Linked DNA regions of Struthio camelus. The protein of the gene in region 1 interacts with the protein of each later gene in a biochemical or structural test. Links are inferred from orthologs where the notes say so. Each region holds a gene or a part of one and is shown on either strand. Other genes may lie near its edges.

What was found. The genes of interacting proteins can lie anywhere in the genome.
Region 2: of the proteins of ARF1 (region 1) and AGAP1, one has a biochemical effect on the other in vitro, tested with the Homo sapiens proteins (2 studies listed by BioGRID, with this or other methods). The link is inferred for Struthio camelus from reciprocal best matches to the Homo sapiens genes ARF1 and AGAP1.

What each region holds. Positions count from the first base shown.
Region 1 is NC_090943.1:3,582,257-3,589,854, reverse strand, and holds the start of ARF1 (ADP-ribosylation factor 1), read right to left. Parts: upstream 3,003-7,598; 5' UTR 2,765-3,002; exon of another isoform or gene 2,215-2,764; intron 1-2,214. UniProt on the Homo sapiens protein: Small GTPase involved in protein trafficking between different compartments. Modulates vesicle budding and uncoating within the Golgi complex. In its GTP-bound form, triggers the recruitment of coatomer proteins to the Golgi membrane.
Region 2 is NC_090947.1:3,584,787-3,592,473, reverse strand, and holds the start of AGAP1 (arf-GAP with GTPase, ANK repeat and PH domain-containing protein 1), read right to left. Parts: upstream 3,016-7,687; 5' UTR 2,320-3,015; coding exon 1,035-2,319; intron 1-1,034. UniProt on the Homo sapiens protein: GTPase-activating protein for ARF1 and, to a lesser extent, ARF5. Directly and specifically regulates the adapter protein 3 (AP-3)-dependent trafficking of proteins in the endosomal-lysosomal system.

The sequences.
Region 1 (7,598 bases):
GTAAGGTTTATGAGGCCAAACTATTTACAACTTTTAAAAACTTAAATTTTAAGCCAAATAACCTGTTATTCATTCCTACTAACTGGAGAGTAAACCAACATTTACACTCTTAGAAACAGGAAGAACTTGCACAAGAGCTTCAGTAATAAAATTGTTTTCTGGTTTAGGGAAAGTGTTAAAACAGAACCTGCAACTAGCTAGTTACTGTGTATTAGATAATCAGTATATGAATAAGGGCTTCATTACACCTAGGAGTCTTATTAGAACCCCAACATCAGCAAAAGTAGAGCCACAGTCCTTCAATATTTGCATGGGCTAGAAACAAGAAATAAAATTGGATACTTGCAAGCAGAAAGAAAAAAGTGCTGAGCAACACAGAAAAAAAAGCACTGTTGTAGTAGGAAGCTGGTTCTAAACTTCTTTACTCATCAGTTAAAGAAAGGGAACGACGGCAGAGAACCGTGCTAGGTGTAACACAAGCTCTACCGCATTCCAGTAGCAAAACTTTCAACAGATCGCTAAAAGCAAAACTATTTCTGTTAAGAAAAAGTTACTAACTTATGTTCACAAAGTTTATCCACTGCAAGGAACTCAAGATATTAAAAGGCCTCGTGAAGGCTGTTGAAATCTGTAAGAATCCTAGCTTTAAAGGCCATCTTTGCACATCTCAGCAGTTTCTCTAAACTGACCTTTTGCTCTTAAAACAAGGTGCTTTGATTTCAACCCTACAAATTCAGCTGGAAGCCTCTATTGTGAGCTTCTCCTTCTCTCATCAATTAATGTAACCAATAACTAATGTGATAACTGTGCCTCAGTGAGATGTACGAACGCTATTACTGCAAGCAGGTTTTTGAGTCAGCTGAAACTGGAGCACAATACAGTTCGGTCAGTTAGAAGAAGGACCAAAATCCAACCCTTTACCTCCTCCCGCCCACTCTGTTTGCCTTGAAACAACTGTAACTAGTCCTGCCCCTCACTGAGCAAGCATGACTAATGCACACAAGGAATTGCGTGCACTGGTCAAGAATGCATCGCTTTTGCCCAGTCCCTTTTCAGATTTGGGTTTTATTTCACAACCAGACAAACTCCAACATTTGGCAAACCCATAGCAAGGACCAATTTACACTCGGGACACTGCATTCGCACACTTGCATTCTAACCTTATTCCAGGTTCTTAAGGTATGGTCCGATAATTATTACGTACACCAAACTATTAGAGCATTAAGGGCTGTTCAGACTGGAAGTGACACCTGCTTGAGCCATTTTTACTCCTGATGCTCTGGCACAGTAGAAGGGTCAGTAAACTTGGCAAACAAAGAGTTTAAGAGGTTCAAGTGAGGTAGGTTTCCTCACCCTTTCACCCAGTATAATTAGCACAATAGAGAAAGTAGTCCAACAGGGTTCTCAGCACTGCAGACAACCTGTGTTTTTAACAGAGGAAATAAGTGGTGTCATACCAGCCTCCTAAACCTCGGTTTGAGAGAATCCCTTGCTTGCTACAGCTGTAAGACTATGAGTACTTACACTGACAATTTCATTACAAATTCCATAAAGAAAAGCCAGGAAGCAATCCTCAGTTCAGCTGGAAAGGGCTCTCCCCCTCCCCCCGCAAAGTTCTTCAAATTAGTAGTAAAAGTAATTATAAATGTATTGCCAAATGACCTTGGACAATTCACTTCAACTTGATTTCTCTGCCTGAAAAATAAGGTTAGCAGAATATTCTTCATAGGGGTGCTGCAAGACTTATCACTTACAAAACAAAGTTCAAAATGTTATATAAATAGTTCACATTTTAGCTATTGACAAAACTACGTTTCAAAACAAGACTCTGGATACAACTCTAATCAACTGGTGGAATTTGGTTTGGCAGGGACCTAGCAGCAGAGCAACAAGGTCAATGTCAAAAACAACATTTAGGCAGCTTTATGACCCGAGAGAGTTTTAGTTATGTTTGATCGGGGCAAACAGCTTTTTCCGTGAAGAGGTTTGCATAGCTAGCCTATCACTCTAATAGAAAGGGGATATCGGCCCACCAAGTATCACATTAATTGCTCACAGAGACAAGACATAGTACTTTCAGCTGCAGTATAATATCCTTCCATTGGGATCTGCTATGCCAAGGAAAACTGACCTTCAGGATCACCAAACCCAAGCAATGCACCTAAAACAGAGTTTGCTCCAGGCTTAAACAAAAAAAAAAAAAACCCAACTTACCTTCACCCTCCCAGCCCTGCACGAAGCTCGACTCAGCAGCTAAAGATTTACCAAGCAAATAACCGCTCTTCGGAGTCTCGCCCGAGCCTCACCTCACCCTACCAGGCCATGGGGAGCTGCGAGCTCGGCTACCAGGAGCCTTGTCGGGGGGAGGAAGCGCAGGAAAACTCTCGCCGCTCTCGGGCGGGGCAGGCCGGAACGAGGGAGTTTGGGGCGGCCGGGGAAGGAAGGCCCATCTCGCCGCATCCCGTCTAATCCCTCCGGCAGGGGGAGCGACGCGGGGCCTGGCGCAGAGCTGCAGCCCTTCCTCACCCCCTCCCCCTCCGCCTTTTCCCTCCCTTCTCCACCCCCCGGGCTGGGCCGGCGGCTCCCCGCTGCCTGCACTGCGGCCTGGCTGCGGCGGCGGCTCCCTCCTCCCGCCGCCAGCCAAGCGCGGGGCTGGAAGCGGCCGGGCCCGCAAGGCCTCGCCGCCGCCTCAGCGCCTCACAACCCGCCGCGGACCTCGGAGAAAGGACCGTAGGTTGAAAGGAGGGCGGCAGCGGTGACTTACCGGCGTCGGCTGCTGCTGCTGCCCCGGGCAGTGGGTCTGGCTGTGCTCGGGCAGTCCCGCTCGGAGCCGGCTTCCCCCCCTGCCGCCGCTCAGCCTCTCTCCGCCCAAGCACACAAGATGGCGGCGCTCGGCGGCCACGTCAGTGCCAGCCCCGCGCGCGGCACCACGGGTAACCGAGGAGGGCAGCGGGAGGCGGGGCCGGCCGCCGAGGGGGCGGGGCTCCGCCTGCGGCGGCGGCGCTGCAAAGGGGCGGGGCCGGGCGGGAGGCCACGCCCCTCCCTCTCCTCTTGCCCACCCCACCCCCGCGGGTGGGGCGGGGTTGGCGCGTGGGAGCGCGGGCGCGGGGCGGCGCGAGGGCTGTGCGCGTGGGAGCTTTTCCTCCTCCTCCTCCTCCTCCTCCTCCTCCTCCTCCTCCTCCTCTTCCCCCCACCTTCTCCCTGCCGCGGGGCCTGGCGTGCATGCACCATGCAGCATTGCCCCGTGGACGGCTCCTTGGGGACGCATGCACCATGCAGCGTTGCCCCGAGGCCGGCTCCTTGGGGGCGCGTGCACCATGCAGCGTTGCCCCGAGGCCGGCTCCTTGGGGGCGCATGCACCATGCAGCATTGCCCCGTGGACGGCTCCTTGGGGACGCATGCACCATGCAGCGTTGCCCCGAGGCCGGCTCCTTGGGGGCGCATGCACCATGCAGCGTTGCCCCGAGGCCGGCTCTTTGGGGGCGCATGCACCATGCAGCATTGCCCCGAGGCCGGCTCCTTGGGGGCGCATGCACCATGCAGCATTGCCCCGAGGCCGGCTCCTTGGGGGCGCGTGCACCATGCAGCATTGCCCCGAGGCCGGCTCCTTGGGGGCGCATGCACCATGCAGCGTTGCCCCGTGGACGGCTCCTTGGGGGCGCGTGCACCATGCAGCATTGCCCCGAGGCCGGCTATTTGGGGACGCATGCACCATGCAGCGTTGCCCCGAGGCCGGCTCTTTGGGGGCGCATGCACCATGCAGCATTGCCCCGAGGCCGGCTCTTTGGGGACGCATGCACCATGCAGCGTTGCCCCGAGGCCGGCTCCTTGGGGGCGCATGCACCATGCAGCATTGCCCCGAGGCCGGCTCCTTGGGGGCGCGTGCACCATGCAGCGTTGCCCCGAGGCCGGCTCCTTGGGGATGCATGCACCATGCAGCATTGCCCCGAGGCCGGCTCCTTGGGGGCGCATGCACCATGCAGCATTGCCCCGAGGCCGGCTATTTGGGGACGCATGCACCATGCAGCGTTGCCCCGAGGCCGGCTCCTTGGGGGCGCATGCACCATGCAGCATTGCCCCGAGTCCGGCTCCTTGGGGGCGCATGCACCATGCAGCGTTGCCCCGAGGCCGGCTCCTTGGGGGTGCGTGCACCATGTAGCATTGCCCCGAGGCCGGCTCTTTGGAGGCACATGCACCATGCAGCATTGTCCCGAGGCCGGCTCCTTGGGGGCGCGTGCACCATGCAGCATTGCCCCGAGGCCGGCTCCTTGGGGGCGCATGCAGCATTGCCCCGTGGACGGCTCCTTGGGGGCGCATGCACCATGCAGCATTGCCCCGAGGCCGGCTCCTTGGGGGCGCATGCACCATGCAGCATTGCCCCGAGGCCGGCTCCTTGGGGGCGCATGCACCATGCAGCATTGCCTAATAATACCACATTGCGGGATGGTGGAATAGCACACGGACGTTACAAGGTTTAAAGCGTGCCGACGATGCAACCCCCTGCAAGGAGAGTGCATTGAGCGTACGGGCTTGCGACACGCAGGACCCGCTTTGCAGGGCCGTGAGCTGTCTGAAATCCCCGAGGGGGAATCTACAGGCTGTTTTATCCAAACTAAAGCAGGACTGCAGGGAGGAAAAAGGCAAAAAGATAGCTGGTGGGATGTCCCAAGCGCTGGCTCTGGCCTTTCGCAGGCACCTGGGGCGCCTCGGTTTCCCCTCTGAGCCGGAAATACCACTTTTGTCTTTCTTGCCCCGGCCTGGGCACGAAATACTTCCTCCTCTAAAGCGCAGCAGAAATTTGAAAGCAGCAGGAAGCAATGAAAACTCCTTCTTTCTGCCCCCCTTTTCCCCCCCGATGCTCATAGGAAATTAATACCTCAAAATCCTCCGTCCCGCTGTCAAAGGTGGCTGAAATTGCCCGGCAGCTGAAAACATTATAAAGGGATGAGGGAAGACAGACGGGCATGAGCTCAAAAGCCTCTTTTCCTAAAAAAACTAGGTCACGCACGAGAGCGGTGGCAGAGATGGCAGGAGGGAACCCGGACCGGAGCCGGCGCTTGTCCCCCGCCGCCTTGGGGCAGCAAAGCTCACTCTGTACAAGCAGGTAGGATTTAATACGACGATTATTTCACTTAAGGAAGCACCTATGATACGTTAGGTCTCCCCAAAGGTGCACAAAGAGCCTGGAGAGGTCCCAAAACGTTGCAAACACGTTGAGGGGTTTGGGCAAAAGAGAAATGTGGCCTCGGCGCTCTGAGTCATGATGCAAGATGCAGACTTTGCCCGGTGACTCATTTCTGGGAAGAAAAAGGCCTCTTTTTGCAGCGGGGCTGAGCAGACCTGTTCCTTTCCTTTCTTTTTTTCTGCCCGTTTCGGAGTGGGGACGCCGGGGAAAAAGGAACCTCCGCTTGCCCGCCGGGTGCTAGCGGCAGAGCAGCAGCCTCGTCTGCTTTCCTGGCGCGGCCTTTTCGGAGCGGGACGGGTTTTCCTCGCCTCGGGTGACGAATCCTCCAGCATGGCTACACCCTGTTCTCGCTGGCTTTTGCAAAAAATAAAACAATAAATAAATCGTGTTTGTCCAAGGCGATTTTCTGAGGTTGTAAAAATATCCGCGAAGGCTCGCTTGCGAAACGCTTTTCCTTTCCCGCCTGCCCTAGAGAAGAAGAAGAAAAAGAAATCCCCTTAGGCTGGATTTGCTTGAGCTCCGAAGGATTTTAGGGACAGAAGCGGCTTCAAGTGCAAAGCCTGGGGTTTGGGGGTGACACTGGGGCGGGTGCCCACGGGCGAGGGTCGTTCACTGCTCTGCTCTCGGCCGTGGCGGCACCTAAGGCCCCCGTTGGCCGCTTTGGGTCGAGGGTTTCTCACCTTCGAGCTTGTCACATGCTGGTGAGGACGGCGATTGCTGGCAGGAGCTGCAAAATCACCCCCGCCACCAGCTATTGGCTACCTTTCCCACCGAAAAAATAGCGACTACGGCTTGGATTCGGGGTCTTGGAGTCACCTGTTGGGCTAAGAGATCTAGACCTGGTGCTCATGTTTTACCATCCTGCTAGCAAAAGGCGGGTGGGTTTGGGGAGAAAAGCAAGCTAAACGCTACCTGCAGCAAAATTATGCAGCAAAATCATAATTTTGCAGCAGGAGCTTGCTCCAGCTCCATCAGTGAAGTGGAGCTGAAGGCCCAGGTGGGAGCAAAAATGCTGGAGGTGAGTGGAAAGCCAGCTGGGTCCCGTCTCCTGCAGCCCTGCAAACAGCCAGAGCTTTGGGTTTTGCCACGGTTTCTCCGAGAAAAGCCGACTTTGGGTGCAGAGGGACGCGTGCAGCCAGAATTCCCGAAAGGCTGTTTTTTGAGAGCATCTCAGATGTAGGACCGAAGCACGGAGAGCCAAGACAGCAAATTGCCCTTCCATCGGTGACGCCGGCTCCCTGGGGATGGCAGGGAAATTACTTCAGCTCTCTCCGCCTCGCTTTTTTTCTCCTTAATTTGGAAATAGCTCCACTGAGTCACTCAGCGAAGCGCAGGGCTGGTGTGAAGAGCTGCGCCTAAGGTAGGTATCGCTAAATTTTTGGCGCTGCTGCTGCCACCTCTGGAAGGAGCTCCCATGGTGCATGCAATGGGGCCCCTCCCGGGGTGACCGTCGAGGAGTTGCCTTCATGTCCTCAGCGCCTGGGTTGGAAAACACATTCTGGCTAGGTGGAGACCACGTCGCAACCCGCTTGGCCTGGCCCAGAAAGTCACCTGGCGGTAGCTAAGAAGTATTCACTGACCGTGACGTCTCCACGTGGCTGGCGCCGAGTAAATCTGGATTCGGGTGCTTGCAGCGCCGGTAGCAATGCGTTCCTGAGTACATCTGGGGGATCTTCACCGAGGGCCGCTGTCCTCCTTTCCCTTCCTTCGGAAGCAGCCAAGCCTCCTGGTTTTAGCGGATGGTTTTTAGGAGGGTGCATTAGTGTCGTTATTTCACCCAGCGTCCAGGACCGGCGGTGGGAATTGAGCAGCAGAGCCTCTAGACCAGATAGCAGCGTGGGGTCATGCCGCAGATGGTCTCTCCGTCCGCCCTTCCCAGTTTTGGGTTTAATCCTCAGCTTAATTTTAGTGCCAGACCTAACGTGCTGCAGCTGGAGACCTGCGCCAGCTGCCGCGTCCGCGGGGCCAGATCTGTGGACCACCACATGGGATGGAGATGGGGACGAGCACTGTTGTCCGTGGTGCCAGCTGTGTCCCACTGGTGCCTCCAGGTCTCCCAAATCAGAAACATGGCAGGACCACGCAATTGCCCACAGCACAAGGTATTTGGTAGGGTCAGCTCCTTAGAGCTGTCTGGTCTTCCTAGGATCCTCTAAAGTCTCAGCTTCCTTTCCTTGTTACAAAGATATTGTGTCCTTCTGGACAAGATATTAGCTCCTGCAACCTGGATAATTTTGAGCTACTATGGGGTTACCTAAGGCTTCGAGGGGCAAAGGAAGGAAGAGCCACAACCATTTGGGGAGGTCACAGGCCTCATTTTAACAGCAGGTTTCTGGACTAGATGTTAGTTCTTTGTCCATGGGGAACATGCAGCCCTTCAGGGAGTGGTGGGAACCCTTCTGAGGTGTGAACT
Region 2 (7,687 bases), on another chromosome or scaffold:
GCTTAGTGCTCAAAGGATAGTATGATTACTAGCGAAATGTTTGACCTCGGACACCTAATAACGATTAAAAAGGCATTGCAAGGAAGAAAGCAGTGTCTTACAGTGAAGCTCCGTAACCAGCATTTCTGGTTTAACATGTCTCAGTCAAGCATACCATGATCCTTGTAGATCCTTACAGAACCCTGCTAGCCAATTCGTGACTCCCATCCCACAGTGAGCTTACATTTTCAAGTTTTTCTTGTATCCTAAGGGTTTAGGAATCCCAGAATTCCCAATCTGATTTCCACCTAGCATTAGCAATGCTTGGCTAGTTCCAGATTTGATTGATACATAACCATGTAAAATAATTCACAGAGCATCATCCGAGTTTGTGGTGTTCTGTTGTTTTTTTTTTTTTTTTTTTTTTTTTTAAAGAATATGAACTCAAGCTTAAGCATTTTTGTAATCAAGATGATGGAAGAGGTTTACAGTTTTGAATGTGTTTCTAGCAATATTCACCTACTCCAATGCTAGCAAATATATTTCTGGCCATTGTAACCCCTCTTCGAGATTCAGAAAGTCTTTCCAAAAGGAGAAATCCCGAGCGCTGCAAAGCACTCAGCCACCCACTGACCTATATATATACACACACACACAGAGCAACACAGGAGTTCAGCTTCCACTACATAATTAAGCAAGCTACACTTGCCTCACTCAGCTCTACTAGCAGCCACAGTGAACCACCCTGAGTGTTTCTCCATTCAGGAGGCACACCACCTCATCTGCCTCCATCATAACCATCAGGCTGTGCACCTGAGAAGGAAACACTATCAAATATTTCAAGATATACAATATCCTCTACTGCATAAAACAAATACATCAGATCATGTAGGTGTACTCCCAGGGCAGCATCTCCATCTCCTCAATTAGAAAGGCCTTTTGGCACCACCATCCCTCAGCCCCGATTCAAACCCTTGCAGCAAACACACCTGCTTGCTTCCCCCTCTGTCAAGCCTCCCAGATCACAAAAAAAGAAAAAAAAGGGGGGGGGGTACCTTTGTGAGGGGACCCATTGATGCTCTCCGAGCTAGACTGCACATCCACAGTGGCTCTCCTGAGGCTGCTAAAATAAGCCCTGGACCGGGAGAAGCTACTCCGTGGGGACCGGCCGTGGGGGCTGCCAAAGGGGGTGGAGGTACCGTCCTTGCGGGCGAAGATGCCGCTGAAGAAGCGCAGCAGCCGGTGCTCATGGACGGTGGCGCCACTGCCAGCAGGGCCATCCCGCCCCAGGCGCTCAGAGAGCCGCTGCAGGTCACTGTTATCCAGGGTCCGGTTCTTGCTCTTGCTCCGCTCCCAGCGCTCCAGTTCAGAGAGCGGATCCGCCTTGCTCAGCACCTCACCCACATCCAGGGTGTTGCGTTTCTCGGGGACAGCGGTGGGCGGCTCGGGCGAGGCAGCGGGCAGCAAGTCCAGCGCTCCGGCCGCCTCGCTCGGCGTAGGGCCGGGCAGCACGGGAAGGCAGCCCGAGCTGCTGTGCCGCCGCACCCGGGTGAGCGCCCTGATCCGCGGCAGCTCCCCCCCTCTCCAGTGCCTGAAGCTGAAGCTCCGCCGCAGCTGGCCTGGCTGCCGCCAGGGACTATGTCCCTGCTCCCCCAGCTGCAGAGCCTCGCCTGAGCAGCCTGCAGGCAAGCAGCGGGCCCGGAGCCGAGCATCCTCCCCAGGGGAGGCAGCTGTAGTCACCGCCAGCTCCCCCGCAGCTCTGGCTTCAGCCCTGCCACAGGTGGCCACCACTGATGGAGGCTCCCCATCGCCCAGGCACGGGCCCTGACAAGGGGCAAGCGCAGCGGCAGGAGCGGCTTCCTCTGGCGAAGGGCTGCTCCTCGCCCCCTCCGCCGCAGCGCCTGGCTCCCGCGGCCACCTGAAGGTCAGCTGGGCAGGGAAAGGCTGCGCTGCTCTCCGTGCCACTTTGAGGCGACCCAGCTCCAGCTGCCCGGTGCTGAGGGTCCTGAAGTTGCGGAAGCCGCAGGGGCTGGGTACTCTGTCTTGCTCCTCACCCTCCTCGCCCTCCTCCTCCAGCAGCAGCAGCCCAGCTCTGGTGAGACTGGAGGAGCCCAGTGCTTGGCTCCCTCCCCGCTGCCCGTGCTGAGGCAGCTCCAGGCCAGGATGGCTGCCCTCTGGCCCTAGCAGCTCTTTCTTCACCATGGTCACAGAGATGCGGTAGACTGTTTTCCTCTGGGGGGTCCCCCGCTGCATCCTCTCCGGAGAGGCGGCAGCCGATGGCTCGCTGCTGTCCAGAAGGTACATGTCTCCCTCCCCTCTCCTCCCTTCAGGCGGCAACATTCAGCCCAGACATCATACCTTGCCTGCTGCCAGGGCTGGAGGTATGGGAGACGTGCGCTTCTGGAGCTGCAAATCAAAATGCAGAACCACAAACCACCGCAATACCAAAAAAAAAAAAAATCCTGTGTCACACCCCACTCGGGCCCCTCTTCCAGAGCAAAGTCACTCCGCTGCGCACCAAGATTGCGGAAAGGTTACACAGCTCCCAGTCTCCGGTTCAGCAGTGGCAGCTCCACTCCAGCTCTCCACACCGCTCCTGCATCTCTCCCCACAAACGTACAGCATCCATGTAAGTAATAACCAGTCCTCTTGGCCCCTTCCAAAAATACATCAAGGGATGATTTAAATCCATTCGGTAACTGCATGCATCTTCCTGCAGGTCCCAAAATGCATTGCTCAGGAGAAGCAAGGTCCAGTATTCAGGGGATTAGAGCAGCAGCAGCCTTCAATTTCATTGTTTACAGCAGGCTGCACGTTTGCATATTTTGTGTCCTTTTTTGCAGAGTAAATCTGATTAATATTTGTCCTCAGTATAAACGAGGACCAGACTACTCTAGCTCCGCAATCAGCTGCCCCGATTGGGCTGAAAGGGGGCTGTTTCAAAACGAAAATGCCCACCGTCCCCAACCGTAGAGGGTGCAGGAGTAATCCGAGCCTCAGACAAACACCCTCTCCGAGGGCAAGCAGAGCTCCACTGAGTCCCCCAACATCAGGAAACAGCAGATATTCCAGGAGTAGGAGAGCTCAGCCTCAAGCATCCGGAGCACACCTCAAGCGCTGGCCTGGATTACGCCCTTCTGCGGAACGGGGCGAGAACCAACGCTCCCCGCCGCACCGCTGCGATTACTGCGCAGGCACACACCAAGGATCTCAGACAGCGTTCAAGTCGCGCAGACGACAGGGGGGGAAAGGTTTGCTGTCACTAAGTGCATGGGGAAGGGGTGTATGTGTTGGGGGGAGGAGGGGTACCGTTTGCACCCTGGCTCCTCTTCCAAGTCTGCTTTCCAGAAATATACAACATAGCTAAGTTTCACGCTTCTCACCCAACAACCCAAGGATTTATCTAAGCCAAAGTAAGGGCAAGACAATGGGAAGTGCAACAGTTCTGATCAAGAGACTTCAACCTCACGTGAGGTTGAACAGCCAGCCGCACGCATCCTGAGGTCTAAGGTGCAGGACGAAGCAAGGCACTGCCTTTTTTTGGCACTGAAGAGTCAAATCACCCAGAAGTGATGTTTTTCCATCAGTAGCGACTGTGATTGCTCTGAATAAAATCGTTCACCGTAACACTTTGCATGAAACCATGTTGCTATGTGGTTAATCATGCAAAACTGTGACCTACCATATCCTTCACAATCACTGTTTGTTTCAACAAATCCCGGCTCCTCTAAAAAGCTGGAATGCAGAAGAGAGTTATGCACTCCTTTCACATTCAGGTTGCCAATTCTTCAAGAGCCCGGATCAGTGGCACTGAAGCCATTGACTACTGGCTGGTGCCCCCGTTAAAAAAAAAAAAAAGTGTCAATAGTCAGGCATAATGACAGACACCAGAAAGTAAACAATATTAGAAATAATAAGGTTTCCAATTCCTGTTTATGTTTTTAAAAGTCGAGCTTTAAAAACTAACTTCTGCTATGTACATCCCAAGTCTATAATCAACCAATGCTTGTAAAAGTTCAAAACCAGCAAACATTTTAAAAGAGTAAAAAGAAATCACTCCAACAGGAATGCAACTCCAAAGCTGTGAAGGCAAGTTAGTCCCAGTACAGCTTCAAAATCAGACAGGAGAGAGCAGAAAACAGAAAAGTTTCTCTCTGGGTGCACCCCAAACCAGTGCCCTGGGTCCAGACTAAAACACAGGTATGGCATGAGCTGGACTGGACATGCCTCCAGGACTATTTCTGTTTAGAGAATAAATTCTCATACTAGTTGCACCCAAGAGGCAAGGACACTGGGTTAGAGCCAGTATCTGCATTAGTTTCTGACTATGCCAGGATCCTACAACACATACTATGGATCCCTTACCAGTCAAAACACAACGAACTACTGCTTTAACTCACCATCTCAAGGTATGACACATGTTGCTGTTTCTAATTAACCTCGAAAAATTAGCATTTATTACTTATCACTGCTTTGAGGTCCATATCACTAAACAGATTTGTGCACATATCTTAAGCAGATACTTGACCAAAACCAACTGCAACTGTAGCCCTAGAGAAATAGTCACAACCCACTCGGAGCTCACGCTTGACCATTCCGAAAACAACATCTCCAGTTCTTAAGTGCTCAATCACCACTAAACATATAAATGTATAGAAGATCTCTCCCTTTCTCAAACATCCAAAAGACCATCTCTAATATGTGGTCCTAAATAAGCTGGGGGGGTGGGGTGGGGGGAGGGACAACGAAAAATGGTTCTAATTAGAAATACAAGAACTGTCTATTAAAAATAGGATACGTCACCCTAAGAAGTGTATGAGTATTGAAATCTGTCAATTAAATACTTAAAAATACTGTACTTCAGATATAATACAGTGTAGTAAACCGACACTAATAACATGCAAGAACTTGTTCACAATACCCTCCAAGGAAATCCATGCCACGTTTTCCCACATGCTGCTCTAGGAAAGTAGGCTTCTTATTAGGAGTGGAATAATCCATTTTTCATCTGCCTTAGATGACAGAACCCTTCAGAGGAGCCACTTTTAAGCACAGACAAATAGCCCGCACATTCCTGCGGCTCCCTCCAGAGCATTCGTCTTTTCGCCCTCCCTACCGCGGTTACATCCGTGGTTGGTTATGGACCCTGCTCTCAGTGCCTGCCCTCCTCCTGCCTGGGAATCGTGGTATGTTCTAATGCACCGAATGGGACATGTGAATGGCTCTTGTCTGCATAAACATTTACTTACACATCTCCTGAATCTGCCAGCAGGTTGGGAATTTTTTCATCTTAGCACCTCCCCTGTTTCTCCAAGAGGCTGTGCTATGGTTGGTGTACTATAATCACATCGATTGTGACAGTATTTGCATTAGTCATCAGTTCAAGATACTGTAATAACTCCTCTACACATAGTAGATCATATTCAAAGAGACTGCTCTGCCATTCAAGCTGACGACTCATCATAAATTATTCACCACCCAGCAACTGAAGACTTCTTTTAACACAACCAACTTTGCTGGCATTCAAGAGACTGTCATCTGCATGGCCTGTCATTTCTCTTCTCCATAAAATAGAGGCATTATCCAACCTTTAAGAAATCTGTCATTAGACTTCCCTACAACACTGAATATCTCATAGCAGCAGTGTATTTTACAGAATACTGGGTTTTACGTTTAATATTTTTGTAAGAGCTCTTAAATTACCATGGAGGCACAGAACCGGCATGTACTCTGCCATAATCCCAAAAGCCTATAAAATACCTTAACTCAAGGTTTTCTACTCATAGTCCACATGCAGTATCTGCCTCACAGTATTACTCCAGCTACAGGCCCCCGTCACAAAGGTCCCTCAGGAGCAAAATGAGGTCCAAGTTGTTCTAGCAGCAACAGTGCATTCCCTCCTGCCCTATTTGTCCCATCACATGATAAGGACAGATCCGGTCCCATAATAGGACAAGTCCCACAGGTCCTGAGACCAGAGCTGCCAGAAGTGGCTGCAGCCAACCCAAACAACAGATTTGGCTTACAGCCTACAGCTTGTGTCCTGAAGGGCCCACAGCAGCCAGCTCCTATTTACCTTTTATTCTGTGGGCAACTGCAAGTAAAGAGCATGAAGCACAAACAATAAACACGGGGCTTCTGGAAAGTATCAGGCCCACTGCACAGACACAGTAGGAACCGATGACAAAAAGTATATGTCCCTCTGTTATCCTACCTAACTCAAAAATTACATATTGCTGTACTACCTTCTGCCAAGAAGCCCCTCCCAAATCTTGTGCTTGGCCAAATCCTAGTCTCCCTCCAGGCATTCATATTGAAAAAGTAGTATTTTGTAAGCTCCCATTCAACTTAACTGCACGATGGTCATATTTGCCACTTTTCATCCTACTGCCAAGCTCAAGTATGTCTACATATACTTGTAAGATCCTCATCATTAACCAAAGCAAACCCCAATGCATCTTTAAAAGTCACACACTAGCTTTTTGAATATGGACATTATGATCTTTTGATCTTTCACATAGGAGGGCTGGCTAATTTTGCAATATCAGTAACAAACCACTGCAAAACCCAGGCTGATAACGTAAATGAAATGCATACAGTATGTTGCGCACAACAGAAATATTCTACTACGATTTAGAGTCTCATGATTTTCAGCAACAGAAACCAATAACTTGCTTTAATCCACACTCTGGAACACGAGGAATACTGGTGTCTCAAATATATTTTAAAAATGCTTCAAACACAAACTTCACACGGACTTCTGTCTTGAAAGGCCTGCCCTTCTTTAAAGCTGGAATGCAGCAATACCAGCTGCATCTGCAGTGAGACATTGTTCACCATCAAAAAAAACAAGCCACAAAAAGTAGATAGCAGGTGAAAACTAAGTCGAATGGAAAAAAGCGCACGAACGGTAGCACTCATTGCTAGTGCTAACTTTTCACCTGTTCTGAACCATATTCTTGAGTTTAGTTGCACAACATTGCTGACTGAGTCACTAGCACACAGCACTGACTGCTGAACATTAACAGCAGCAACAGACTACCAGACTGGGAGAAGGGTCATTACTGTTAAAGAGCTGTAAAGTAAGTTGACTCGAGAGCAACTAACGTTACTGATGCCGACTTTATAAAACGATAAAGAACAATTTAATCATTAAAAGTGACGTGAAATAGGCTTTAAGTTTACTCTTTTCCCAAGAAGTCTTAGCAAAAGTGTCTTGAAATTATTCTTTAATTCTTTACTCTTAATTCTATACAAGGTTTTCTCAGTACACCAGCAGATTCCCCACCATCACCATTCAAATATAAAAGCCCAGACAAGGAAGAATATATGCCATATATATATATACATACACATATGCATGTGAGTGTATAATATACATATTTATAAATATATGTATACACATGACACAGCATCTGATCACTACAATTTCAATCCTAAGGAGACTTAATAGGTTAGTCTGCTCTGTTGAAAGCTTTAAGGGTCCACAACTCTTGTAATGTAGGTTGTTCACATGCCTAAGTTTTGGTTTTTATTGAACAACTTCCAGTCATTCAAATCTTCACTGCTCTATCTCATTGTCTTTTTTAAATAAAAGTAGACCTAATTTTATGGGGTTTGCAAACTGCAAGTTAAAATCTAGACACACACCATCATTTCAAGTTGTTTCTTTTGACAAATTCTTTGTGGAAGAGAAAAACAGGTCACC